3 linked regions of the Macaca fascicularis genome follow. The main gene of each other region encodes a partner of the protein of the gene in region 2 in a complex. Links are inferred from orthologs where the notes say so. Each region holds a gene or a part of one and is shown on either strand. Other genes may lie near its edges. The genes, in order: UCN, CRHR2 and GNA11.

Region 1 (2,991 bases), on a different chromosome or scaffold from region 2:
GAGTGAGCGGGGCTCGAGCTGCCTGGCGCCTTCGCAGCACCAGCCCACCGAGCCTTCTTTCCCGGGTACAGGCCTGCGCCAACCCGACCCTGCTCGAGCGCCCGCGCTAGGGTCGGGGAGGATCTGCGCAGAGACCGCGGCATCGCCCAAATCGGCGCCCGCCCCAGGAGGATCTCAATAAAGAACTCGAGCGTCCCCGACCCGTATCTCCTTTCGCTGCCCAATGCCGCAGCCTCGGCTTCGGAGGCGACCCGCCCACCATCCTGCCCTTCCCAGAACCTGAGACTATCCGGGGGGCGGAAGCCAAATGAACCCCTATTGGGCACCTCTGTGATGCCAGGAGCGAAATGGTGAGCCCAGCGCCCTGGGAAAAGGGTCGAGGGCGGGGCGGTGGTGCTGGGACCTCTGAGGTCCTAGGGATTTGGGGACCCCTGGAGTTCAAAGGCACCTGGCTGACCTGGCTGAAAGCCGCTCTCCTGGAGCCCCCCACAGCATTTTGTTCCCCTCCCGCTGGCCCGGGGGCCCCACCTTCCCACGGGCTCCCACGCTGCTGTGACTGCCCTGCCCCCACGACAGAAGCCAACGGGTCTTCAGTACTTTTATTAAAAAATAGTCAAGCAGAGAGTGCCCTGGTGGCTCTGCCCCGCATCCCAACCCTGGGGTGGGGGAAAGGGGTCAAAGTTTTCGCGGCCACAAACCGGGCCGTCACTTGCCCACCGAGTCGAATATGATGCGGTTCTGCTCGGCGCGCTCCCGCTGGCTCTGCGTCCGCGCCAGCTCCAGCAGGGTCCGCAGCAGGTGAAAGGTGAGGTCAATGGACAGAGGAGGGTTGTCCCGCCGCGGCCGCTCGCCTGCCGTCCCGGGTTCCCATCGGCTGGACCCTGCGCGGCGCGAGAAGCGCTCTGCCAGCAGCAAGAGGAGCGCGCGGGCCCCGCCGCCCTGGTTCCGTGCCCCGGGGCTCCAGCGCAGACTCGGGTCCTGGACCCCGGCCGCCTCGGGGCTCCTCTGGCTGTTCCCAGGGCACAGCTGTAGCAGGAGCAGCAGCGCGGCCAGCAGCGCCGCGCGCCCCGCCTGCCTCATGGTGCCGCCGGCCCTGGACACACAGGGGCAGCGCAGGGTGAGGTGCGCCTGGGGCAGCTGCAGGAGGCCGCTCCCCTCCCTGCGCTCGCCCGGCGACCCTTCCGGTAGCCGCCCAATGCCCGCAGCCTGCCCTCCAGCCCCGGCTACTGCGCCAGTGCTGTTCCATCCCTTCCACCCAGCTTCCCTCCCGAAGGAGCGCGGTGGCTGAGCTGAGTGGAGTCCTGGTGCTGGGGGAGGCTGGGTGGACGCTCTGAGCCACTCACAGGTTGTCGGCGAATGTTTGTACGGTCCAAGATTGAGCTCCAGTCTCTGTCCCTCGGGGCGGGCCGAAGGCGCCTTGGGGAACACAGGGTCTGTCCCGGGACTGCCGCCAGCCTTATATAGCGACAGGACAGCTCCGACTGACGTCAGCGAAGAACATGCACTGATTGTAGAAGCAATGACAGCCACAGCTTCGAGTCTGGCGGCTGGCGGGCCCCGGAAGGGCACACCTCCCGACATGAGCCTTCGTCTCCCTGGGGCTAGCGCTGGAAGCAGCACTGGACGCAGGAGAGCGAGAAGCTGGCTGGGGCGAAAGGACTGCTCTGGGACCCACGGGAGTCCCTCGCCCTGCTTAGAACCGCCAGCAGTGACTAGGGCCGTCACCAGACCAGACTAGTCCGGGTCGCGTGTTCTGACACACGAAAGGGAGGCGGGACCGTGGGGGCTGTCCATGGTGCTGACCTCGTCCTGCGCCTCTAGAAGTGGCTAGAGATGATGTGAGAACGCTGTACTGCTGCAAACCACTGCCTCGTGGCAGCTATCAGTTCTGCAAATGCAGGTATCAGGAGTCCACCGCTGGCACTCAGCCAACACAGTGGGTCCCATTGAGAGGCAGTCTTCCACAACCAAAGTCTCCCAGCATTCTCATCTTTTTCCAGCCCCAGGATCCAAATTCTAGGGCTGTCTCACACAGGCACCATGTAACAGAGGGTCTCTGGCCTCCAAGTGCGTTCAGACCACAAATATGGCCCATCTGCTTTTGAGTTTGTCCAAAGTGGTAGTTTAGCAAAGTTCCGTTTCTCTCCTGGGAATCATAGCAGCAGTATTACTCTGCCCATGAGTAGTAAAGAAATATGGGTTCAAGTTTCTGCTAACTCCTGGTGTGGGCAGGTCACCTCCCTTCTACCAACCTCAGGGTTCTCAGTTGTAGAAGACTGGGCTTGGCCAGGCGTGGTGGCTCACGCCTGTAATCCCAACACTTTGGGAGGCCGAGGCAGGTAGATCACGAGGTCAGTAGATCGAGATCAGCCTGGCCAATATGGCAAAACCCCATCTCTACTAAAAATACAAAAATTAGCTGGGCATGGCGGTGCGCACCTATAGTCCCAGCTCCTCAGAAGAATCACCTGAACCCAGGAGGCGGAAGCTGCAGTAAGCCGAGATAGCGCCATTGCACTCCAGCCTGGGAGACAGAGCGAGACTCCATCTCAAAAAAAAAAAAAAAAAAAAAGATTGGGCTTGGTGGTCTCTTGGCTTCTTTCCAGCTCTAGAAATGACTCCCCATTACCACTGCAGATTCCGGATGACACATTTAATAACATATTTACTGAGGCATCATATAAAGGGTTCCGGGGGTCTCTGAAGAGCTGGAGCTACAAGGCTAGGCAGGGTTAGAGTAACAAATGTGTCTATGAAGAGTGGGGATGAGTGGCATTTGCTGGGATATGTGTGTAAAGTTGATAAGGTCATGAAAGTTCAACAGATATTTATGGAGTGCCTAGTATGTGGTGGGAATAAGACTATTATCAAGGGCTCTAAAGCAGTCAGTGCACATTTTAGAGTGAAGGGAGCATTGCAGGGTGCTAGTCCTCTTAAGTTCTGACTGGCAACCCAACCCTGTGGAAACTAGTGTGCCCACTTTAGGAAGTT
Region 2 (4,095 bases):
CTGCCAGGGACTTCTCCGTGTTCTTTTCTCTTTGCTGAGCCTTCTTGGGGCAGATGGGCCCACCAGAAGCCAGGACCTGGGCAAGAGGTCATAGAGGCACCATCGTGAGACGCTATGGGGGTGTCTCGCTGTCCAAAGCTCCAAGGAGCTGAACTCAGTCAGCAGGGGCTGAGAAGCTCCTGGGATCTTCACAGAGTGAGAGGCAAGTGGCATTGCTGAGCCTCTTTAAACCTGTTTCCTGTCTGTGAATAAGTGGCCCCACCTTCCCAGTGTTTGAGTAAGGCGCCTAACACCACGTAAAAGCTGCCAGATTACTGCCTGCCTCCAGAGCAGCTTCCCAAAGTCCTCCTTGGAGAATAGGGAGCACTGGGGTCAAGGCTGGGTGGGTTCCTCCAGGCCTTCAGTGTGTCCTGGGCCAGGGCATCCTCTTCACTCAAAAACAGCAGCTGGAACCCCTACAATTGCAGATCAGACCAGTCCTCTCCCCTGCTCAGAGAGCGCCCCATGTCCTCAGATCCCACAGATGTCTTTTCAGGGTATGTCCTCAGATCCATACAGCTCTGCAGTCTCGCACAGATGTCTTTTCTGGGTTGGGGCCCTGGGGCCTTCCCCCCTACCTTCTCCCCCATCCCTTCCCTTGAACTACCCATCTCCATCCCTGCTGTGCTGCCCACCTCCTACCAGGCTCCCCCAATCCTGTCAAGGGCCCTCACACCTACACATACTTCTTCTGAGCCCATTTACTGGAACTTGTAAATACAGACTCCTTTCTTTCCTGCCACACCCCCTTCTGGGCGATAAACTCCACAAGAACAGGAACCAGATTAGCGTTCAGACCCTGGATCCTCCCCATGGACAGTCCTCCTTAAACACTGGATGAATAACTGAGAAGCCTCCGAGGCCAGGCTGGACTCTCCTGGGCTGCCTTCTCTCTCTACTTCCTGCTCCAGGTCTCATCGTCTCAGGACCCAGGAAGAAGTCCCATTGCCATGAAGGCCCAGCGAGAGGAAGGCTGGGCTTTGGCGTCAGAAAGGCTGGGGTTTAAGTGCTCTCCAGCTGCTTACGTGCTGAGTGGCTGTGGGCAAGTAACTGGTCTCTATCCCAGTCTGGGATCCCCGGGAGAGCTGGGGACAGGGCCTGGGATGACCCCAAGGGAAGCTGAGCCCACAGTGTTGCCCTGAGAATCCTAGGGCACCTCTGGAGCCGCCAGCAGAAGCTTCCTCCGTCTAACTAGCTTGGGTGGCTGGCGGCATGGCCCCCAGAGGGACGGGCTGGGGGCCACCGTTGCCCCAATACTTGGATCTCCTGGAAGGCACTTATCTGGAGAACAAGTGGGAGAGGGCAAGAGAACTCAAAGCCCAGGATGTCTTTGGGGGCAGAGGGGTGGATGGTGAACCCCCTGCACAACTTTCACCCATCCCAATTGCAGTCTGCAATGTCACTCAAAGGACTCAGCCGGTCTGGGGGCCATCTCCCTATGGGACACTGACCACAGCTCAGCATGGTACCTGCCTCCCACCTCTCTCCTCCACCTGGCCAGGCCCCTAGGAAGGCAGGGACCCTCTGTGGTGCTGTATCTGTGGTGCCTGGCACAAAAGCGTAGCTGGCATTCACTGCGTGCTCACACCACACCAAGCATGATGCTGCGTGCTTTACTTGTATTACCTCAGTGTTCCCCACAACAAGCCTGTTCAGTAAGCACCGTTGTCATCCTCATTTGACTGATGAGGAAACTGAGGATTTGAGTAACCTGTCCGAGGTCACACATTAAGCAGCAAAGCAGGGATTTGGATTGGTTTTGTTGGCAAATATCTGTTGAATTACTGTTGAATGAATTATCCTCCTTATACATATAGGGACACTAAGCCCCAGAAAATGGTCCCCAAGGCTGGTCTGTGGGGGGAGTCTTGGACAGGGACAGGCCTCTTAGCTTCCACTCTGGCACCACTCCCCAGATTGTGAGGCCTAGGACAGGTCCCCCTCCCACTCTGAGCCTCAGTTTCCCCATCTGTAAAATGGTGGACCACTCCCACCAGCCTCTCCCCTACTTCTTCAGCTCTCTTTTGATGGCTGCTCTGTGTCCCTTCACCCCACCTTCCATCGGTGGCCCCTAACTCTGGACAAAGGCACGGGGTGTGGCTGGACAAAGCTCAGAGTCTCGAGAAACCTTTGGAGAGGCTGGTTCTCCCAGAGCCCATTCTGTCCCCATCGCTCATCTGGTACTGGGGGCCGCCTGATTTCAGGCACTGAAAGGAAGGGTGGAGACAAGGCAACAGGGGCAGGAGGTGGCTCTGCGGGTCCCCGCGGGTAAGGGTCAGAACTAGGAATGGGCTGGGGAAAGAAGTCAAGGATCCTGCAGGAGAGATGGAGGGGGGATCATGGGGGTGGGGAGAGAATGGACAGGAGACAGGGAACCTTGGGCCCTGAGGTAGGCAAGTTCTGGACACTAGGGTGTCACCCCAGAACCCTCTGCTTATCCACAGGGGACTCCCAGTCTCATCCTGGCCGGCCTCACAGTTTCATCTTCCCTTCCCCTGCCCCCTCACCCAGGCACGGAATCTCCAATTCATCATCAAGACTCAGGGATCCCCGATCCAGCCCAGTCACCATGCCCTGAGACCCCCGCCCCTAGTCATGAGAGCTGGGAGTTCTGCGCTCCTGGTGCCCCACCTCGTGGACTCCCACTCCCTGCACTTACTTGGAGCAGCGGTAGAAGGAGGCAGAGCAGGCAGAGGAGGTGTGGGATGTAGAGGAGGCCTAGGGGCCCTGAGGGACCCCTCATGCCAGTAGTGGATGGGGGTTAGGGCCCCGAGAGTGCTGCCCAGCACAGTGGCCACACCCCGGCCAGCCCCACCCAACCTGGCCCTGGAGGGGAGGCCTGAGGTAAGGCCCTGGGCACGAGGGGGTATTCTCCACCCACCTCTTCCACAGGGCAGCAGTGGCCCCGCCCCACAGCCCACAGCCTCCAGGTTATTTATAGCTGGTGCAGGACAGCTGCTGCTACCCAGCCAGCCAAGGGGCTATGCTCTCCCTCCAGCCTGCAGAGAAGGGGTTAATGCCTTCTATCTGCTTCCAGCATTGCCGGGGCTGTAGCTCCCCAGGTGGGAGAGAGGAATTGAGAAAAGGAGGAGGGGGCCTAGGCTGTGGTCCCTGCTTGAGCACAGGATTGGGCTGCCCTGGGTCTCAGCTGAGCCAGCACTGCCTAACACCTATCCGGGGAGTTTTAACAGGTGCTAATGCCTACTGGGATGACTGAGATGGGAGGGTGGATGCTGGGTAAATAGTAGTACTGTATCAATGCTACATCTGCCGATTCTGATACTGTACTGTGGGTAGGTGAGAGAATGTTTTCATTCTTGGAAAATACACATTTAGGATTAAAGAGGCACCATGTTTCTAACGTACTTTCAAATCATTCAGAAATACACTCACATAGATAGATCTATAGATAGAACAAGAGAGCAGATGAAGCAAAATGTAAATTGTTGGTAAATCTGGAAAAGGGGTATATGGATATGCTTTGGATCATTCTTTCAACTTTTCTGTACGTTTGAAATTCTATCAAAATGAAACGCTTAAAAAAAAAAAAAAAAACCCAACTGACAGCAAACACAGCCATGGCAGGGCTCACCCAGAGATTCCAATGACGTAGCTTGGGATGGGGCCCGGGTGTCTGTATGTTTCAGGAAATGGCTAGGGATCCTGATGTCAGGTGGATCTTGCGGAGCAGTGCTGTTCTTGTGGGGACAGGTTCAACCTGGGGCTGGGTCATGGCTCATGAGGTGAGGTCTGTTCTTCTGGAGCCTCGGAAGCCTCCTTGGGAGCTGTTCCTGACAGATGGGCCTGGTGCAGGGGGTTTAAAAGCTTAAGCCGCAGTTGCACCTTGCTTGTTGTTAGGATCTGAGGGGAAAGCATGTGAGGAATGTGATTAGTGGGGCACCAAGCTTTCTCCTAGAGATGCAGGCAGGGCCAAGACCTTGGAAAACTCAGTCCCAATTTAAGTAACTCAGACACTCTGTGCTCCTTCTGGTCTCCCTATCTGAGACATGGGACACTTTTCTGTCCTTGAGTGCCTCCTCCCTACCCTCAGCCCCT
Region 3 (4,098 bases), on a different chromosome or scaffold from region 2:
GCCTCCCAAACTGCTGGGATTACAAGTATAAACCACTGCGCCTGGCTTTTTTTTTTTTTTTTGAGACGGAGTCTCACTCTATTGCCCAGGCTGGAACGCAGTGGTGCGATCCCAGCTCTCCGCAACCTCTGCCTCCCGGGTCCAAGCAATTCTCCTGCCTCAGCAAAAGTAGCTGGGACTACAGGTACCCACCACCACGCCTGGGTCATTTTTGTATTTTTAGTAGAGACAGGGTTTCACCATATTGGCCACGCTGGTTTTTTGTTTTGTTTCATTTTATTTTTATACAGGGTCTTACTCTCATTTCCCAGGCTGGAGTGCAGTAGCTCCATCTCTGCTCACTGAAACATCTGCCTCCTGGGCTCAAGTGATCCTCTCATCTCAGCCTCCCGAGTAGCTGGGACTACAGGCGCCCACAACCGCGCCCGGCTAATTTTTTGTAATTTTTAGTAGAGACGGGGTTTCACCGTGGTCTCGATCTCCTGACCTTGTGATCCGCCCGCCTCGGCCTCCCAAAGTGCTGGGATTACAGGCGTGAGGCTTTTTTTTTTTTGAGACGGAGTCTTGCTCTGCCGCCCAGGCTAGAGTACAGTGGCCGGATCTCAGCTCACTGCAAGCTCTGCCTCCCGGGTTCACGCCATTCTCCTGCCTCAGCCTCCCGAGTAGCTGGGACTACAGGCGCCCGCCACCTCGCCCAGCTAGTTTTTTGTATTTTTAGTAGAGACGGGTTTTCACCATGTTAGCCAGGATGGTCTCGATCTCCTGACCTCGTGATCCGCCCACCTCGGCCTCCCAAAGTGCTGGGATTACAGGCGTGAAGCCACCGCGACCGGCCTCCGTTAACGCTTTATAATGGATGAGTGAAGGTTCCTGTCAAGCAATGTCAGGGAGCTTCCCGGGCATCTGGAGACCCAGAGAGCGCAGCGGCCGCGTGGGCGCCTCCCCGACCCGGACTGGGCCGATCTGGCCGAGCCGAGCGGGGCCGAGCGGGGCCGAACGAAGCCGAGCGGAGCCGAGCCTGGCCGGCCGAGTCCGCCACATTCCCACAATCCCGGGCGGCCCCGCCCCGGCTCCCGGCTGCGCGTCCCCCTTCCCACGTCGGCGCAACCAAACCCGCGGGCCCCCCGCCCTCGCCCCGCCCCGCCCCTTTCGCGCCCGCCGACGCCCCGCCCAGGCCGCTAGTCCCGCCCCCACGGTGGGCGCGCGTGGCCGCCGGCCCCTCCCATTGGCCACACCGTCTGCCTGTCGCGGGCTGCGCTCCCAGCCTGCTAGGTTGTCCGGCGCTGTCGCTCGGTTGCGGCGGCTGCGGTTGGCGGTGGCTGCGGCGGCGGCGCGGGCTAAGTGCGGCCGCGCGGGAGTCCGCGGCTGGCGCGGCCCGAGCAGGGACCCGGCGGCTCGCCAGGCGGCGGCCGAGGCGGGGCGGGCCGGCCCGGGGCCGAGGGCCGGGGGCCGAGGCCGGAGGGCCGCGGCGGGCGGCGGCCGAGGCGGCTCCGGCCAGGGCCGGGCCGGGGACCGGGGGGCGGCGGCGGGGAGTCGGCCGCGGCGGCCGGGGCCGGGACGATGACTCTGGAGTCCATGATGGCGTGTTGCCTGAGCGATGAGGTGAAGGAGTCCAAGCGGATCAACGCCGAGATCGAGAAGCAGCTGCGGCGGGACAAGCGCGACGCCCGGCGCGAGCTCAAGCTGCTGCTGCTCGGTGAGTGCGGCCCCCGGGCCTGCCGGCTGCGGGCCCTGCCCTGCCTGTGTCCGCCCTGCCTGTCCGGGTCGGGCTGGGACCCTGTGGGGTCAGCCCTGCCTTTGCCGTCCGGGTTGCGGGACCCTCCGGGGTCAGCCTTGCCTGTGCCTTCCCTGCCTGTCCGGATCGCGGGACCCTCGAGGGTCAACCCTGCCTGTGCCTGCCCGGCCTGTCCGGGTCGGGGCGGGGCCCTCCCGGTTCAGCCCTGCCTTTGCTGTCTAGGTCGGCACCTGGGACCCTCCGAGGTCAGCTCCGGGCCCCAGATTCCTTTGGGGTCAGCCTCTGCCTTAACTGTTCATATTGGCACCTGGGATCCCGGGGTCAGCCCCTGTCTGTGCTGTTCACGTTGCCACCAGGGACCCTCGGGCGTCAGCCCCTGTCTGTGCTGTCTAGATCAGGCCCGGGATCCCTCCTAGGTCAGCTCCCAGTTTCTGCCGCCACATTGGGCCTCCAGGACTCCAAGATTTGCCTTGTGTCACTTCTCAAGGGACCAGCCCCTCCCTGCTCAGGGACCCTCTGACCTTACCCCACCTGAGTACCCACCCCTCGCTACCCCTTCAGGGCCAGACCTTTGGGCTGTAACCCACAGGGCATACTCACCCCTCACTTCTCAGGGCCCCGCGTTGACCCTTCCCTCCAGGTAGAGCCCTGTACCCTCCATGCAGGCCCCATACACCCCCCAAAGACTCCTCCGTGCCCCCTAACCCCCCATTCCCTTCAGGGCCATTCTCCTGCCTTCCTGTTCCGGGAAACCCCATAGTCCTCTTGGCTGGAAAGCGCCCTGTGGGAAAAAGACAGGGTTCTGCTCAGCTGAGGGTGGGGCGATTGACACCTGAGGGAGCCTTTGCTTGTTGTCCGAAGCAGCTGTCTCGGCAGCCTCCCCCGCCGCCTTCCTTAGAGTCTTGGTGGGAGCCACACTGAGTCCCCGTTGGGAGCAGGCCCCCACCTCCCGGCTCCTCCCCACCGTCCTGGAGAAGGTTTGCTGCTGAACCTCGTCTCCCCAAGGCACGCCTGCTGCAGGGAGCCAGTCGGGCCAGCTGTAAAGTGTTGTCACCCCAAATAAGGGTCCCTGCAGTCGTTTACAAAACAGAAAGCTCTTGCCCTGCCCCGCCCCTGCCCTCCCGAGCTCCTAGGTTAGCTCCTGGCCTGGGGGCGGGGGCCAGGGGCGGTGGGGAAGGTCAGAAATGGGTGCAGAGGCAGCAGGGACGGAGGAGGGGGTGTGCTGGTGGCGGTAGCTCCTGGGGAGGAGGCAGGTTGGGTGCTGTGTGGGGAACACGGTTGCCTCTCTCCTGCTGTGACCCTGTTGCGGCCTCCATGTCCCCGGTTAGAGAGGTGCCTTGGATGAAATGCCCTCCTGATTTTTTCCCCCAAACTTGTGTTTTGATTTACCTAAGGGGTCTGAAGTGGGCCGTCTTTCCAGGGGACACGGGTAGGCAGAGCCCGCGTAGTGGCCCCTTGCACAGAGTGGCACTGACTGGCTTTTGTAGTGGGTCATGGACTTTGTTTGGATGGAGGGGAGTTAGGAATTACTGGTGTCATAAAGATCTTACCAGATGGCCTTGCTCTGTGGCTCTGTGACCTCCCGAATCCCTGCCACCTTTTCCGCGTGCACCCAGGCTTCTGTGCCTGCACTTTGGACTTGAGATTGACACGGGGTTCAAGGACGAAGGTCAGGGGCTCCCGTGTCTGCAGCCTTGGCTGCTTGGAGCAAATCTGGAAGTGATTCGGCCCTTCCTGCATCCTCTGTGCAGTGCCCAACTGTGGCCCGGGGTGTCTGCTGCAGGAGCACCTGTGTCTGCAGCCCCGCCCCTCCCACTCTGTGAGCTGGAAGTTGACCCCTATCAGCTGGTAAGATGGGAGGCTGCTGTCAGGCTCAGGGCCAGGCGGGGCAGATAGGGCAGTGACGAAGATGTGAGCTTATGTACGACCCAAGGAGGACGGGTGTCAGTGCCACGTAGAGGGCCAGGGGCTGCCAGGGGATTGGAAGGGCTTCACACTCTAGGTGCTGGGGCCAGGGACCCCTCTGGGAATCTGATGCGACAGGCCCTCAGAAAACTTCCCCTCCAAGCAACCTTGCGTCCCAGCTGGAGGGCCCCTTGCTGGGAGGACTTTGACCACCTGAGGTCCAGGGGCTGGGGCTCCAGGGTACAGGAGAGGGGACCTCTGTCAGGCTCCCTGCCTGCTTGTGGGAACTCATTCCACTCTCCCAGGAGGCCAGCCCCGAACTTGCGATTGCCCCTGTTTTTCAGGGAGCAGCGGGAGGGTGGGGCCGAGGCTCCCCAGGAGGAGGGGGCTGTTGGGCTGCAGCAGGTGGCTGTGGTGCCTGCAGCCCATGGAATGTTCAGAGACCTCTGGGCGGAGGT

What was found.
Region 1: the proteins of CRHR2 (region 2) and UCN are in contact, whole or in part, in a cryo-EM structure (PDB 7TS0), measured with the Homo sapiens proteins. The link is inferred for Macaca fascicularis from reciprocal best matches to the Homo sapiens genes CRHR2 and UCN. Residues at the interface, in NP_001874.2 of Homo sapiens: Phe68, Asn69, Gly70, Val71, Tyr73, Ile101, Leu102, Asp103, Asp104, Arg107, Asp110, Tyr113, Leu117, Asn120, Trp166, Leu169, Gln170, Val172, Asp173, His174, His177, Glu178, Thr188, Phe191, Asn192, Phe199, Phe256, Gly257, Lys258, Asp265; in NP_003344.1 of Homo sapiens: Asn84, Pro85, Ser86, Leu87, Ser88, Ile89, Asp90, Leu91, Thr92, Phe93, His94, Leu95, Leu96, Arg97, Thr98, Leu99, Leu100, Leu102, Arg104, Thr105, Ser107, Gln108, Arg111, Ala112, Asn115, Phe119.
Region 3: the proteins of CRHR2 (region 2) and GNA11 are in contact, whole or in part, in a cryo-EM structure (PDB 7TRY), measured with the Homo sapiens proteins. The link is inferred for Macaca fascicularis from reciprocal best matches to the Homo sapiens genes CRHR2 and GNA11. Residues at the interface, in NP_001874.2 of Homo sapiens: Arg148, Tyr208, Leu209, Ala212, Ile213, Thr216, Glu220, Lys293, Lys307, Ala311, Phe358, Tyr359, Phe362, Asn363; in NP_002058.2 of Homo sapiens: Arg37, Ile348, Leu349, Asn352, Leu353, Glu355, Tyr356, Asn357, Leu358.

Annotation. Positions count from the first base shown.
Region 1 is NC_088387.1:94,910,403-94,913,393, reverse strand, and holds UCN (urocortin), read right to left. Parts: upstream 1,436-2,991; 5' UTR 1,344-1,435; exon of another isoform or gene 1,094-1,343; 5' UTR 1,081-1,093; coding exon 706-1,080; 3' UTR 586-705; downstream 1-585. UniProt on the Homo sapiens protein: Acts in vitro to stimulate the secretion of adrenocorticotropic hormone (ACTH). Binds with high affinity to CRF receptor types 1, 2-alpha, and 2-beta. Plays a role in the establishment of normal hearing thresholds.
Region 2 is NC_088377.1:99,597,579-99,601,673, reverse strand, and holds the start of CRHR2 (corticotropin-releasing factor receptor 2), read right to left. Parts: upstream 2,900-4,095; 5' UTR 2,783-2,899; coding exon 2,699-2,782; intron 1-2,698. UniProt on the Homo sapiens protein: G-protein coupled receptor for CRH (corticotropin-releasing factor), UCN (urocortin), UCN2 and UCN3. Has high affinity for UCN.
Region 3 is NC_088393.1:3,791,747-3,795,844, forward strand, and holds the start of GNA11 (guanine nucleotide-binding protein subunit alpha-11), read left to right. Parts: upstream 1-1,270; 5' UTR 1,271-1,560; coding exon 1,561-1,696; intron 1,697-4,098. UniProt on the Homo sapiens protein: Guanine nucleotide-binding proteins (G proteins) function as transducers downstream of G protein-coupled receptors (GPCRs) in numerous signaling cascades.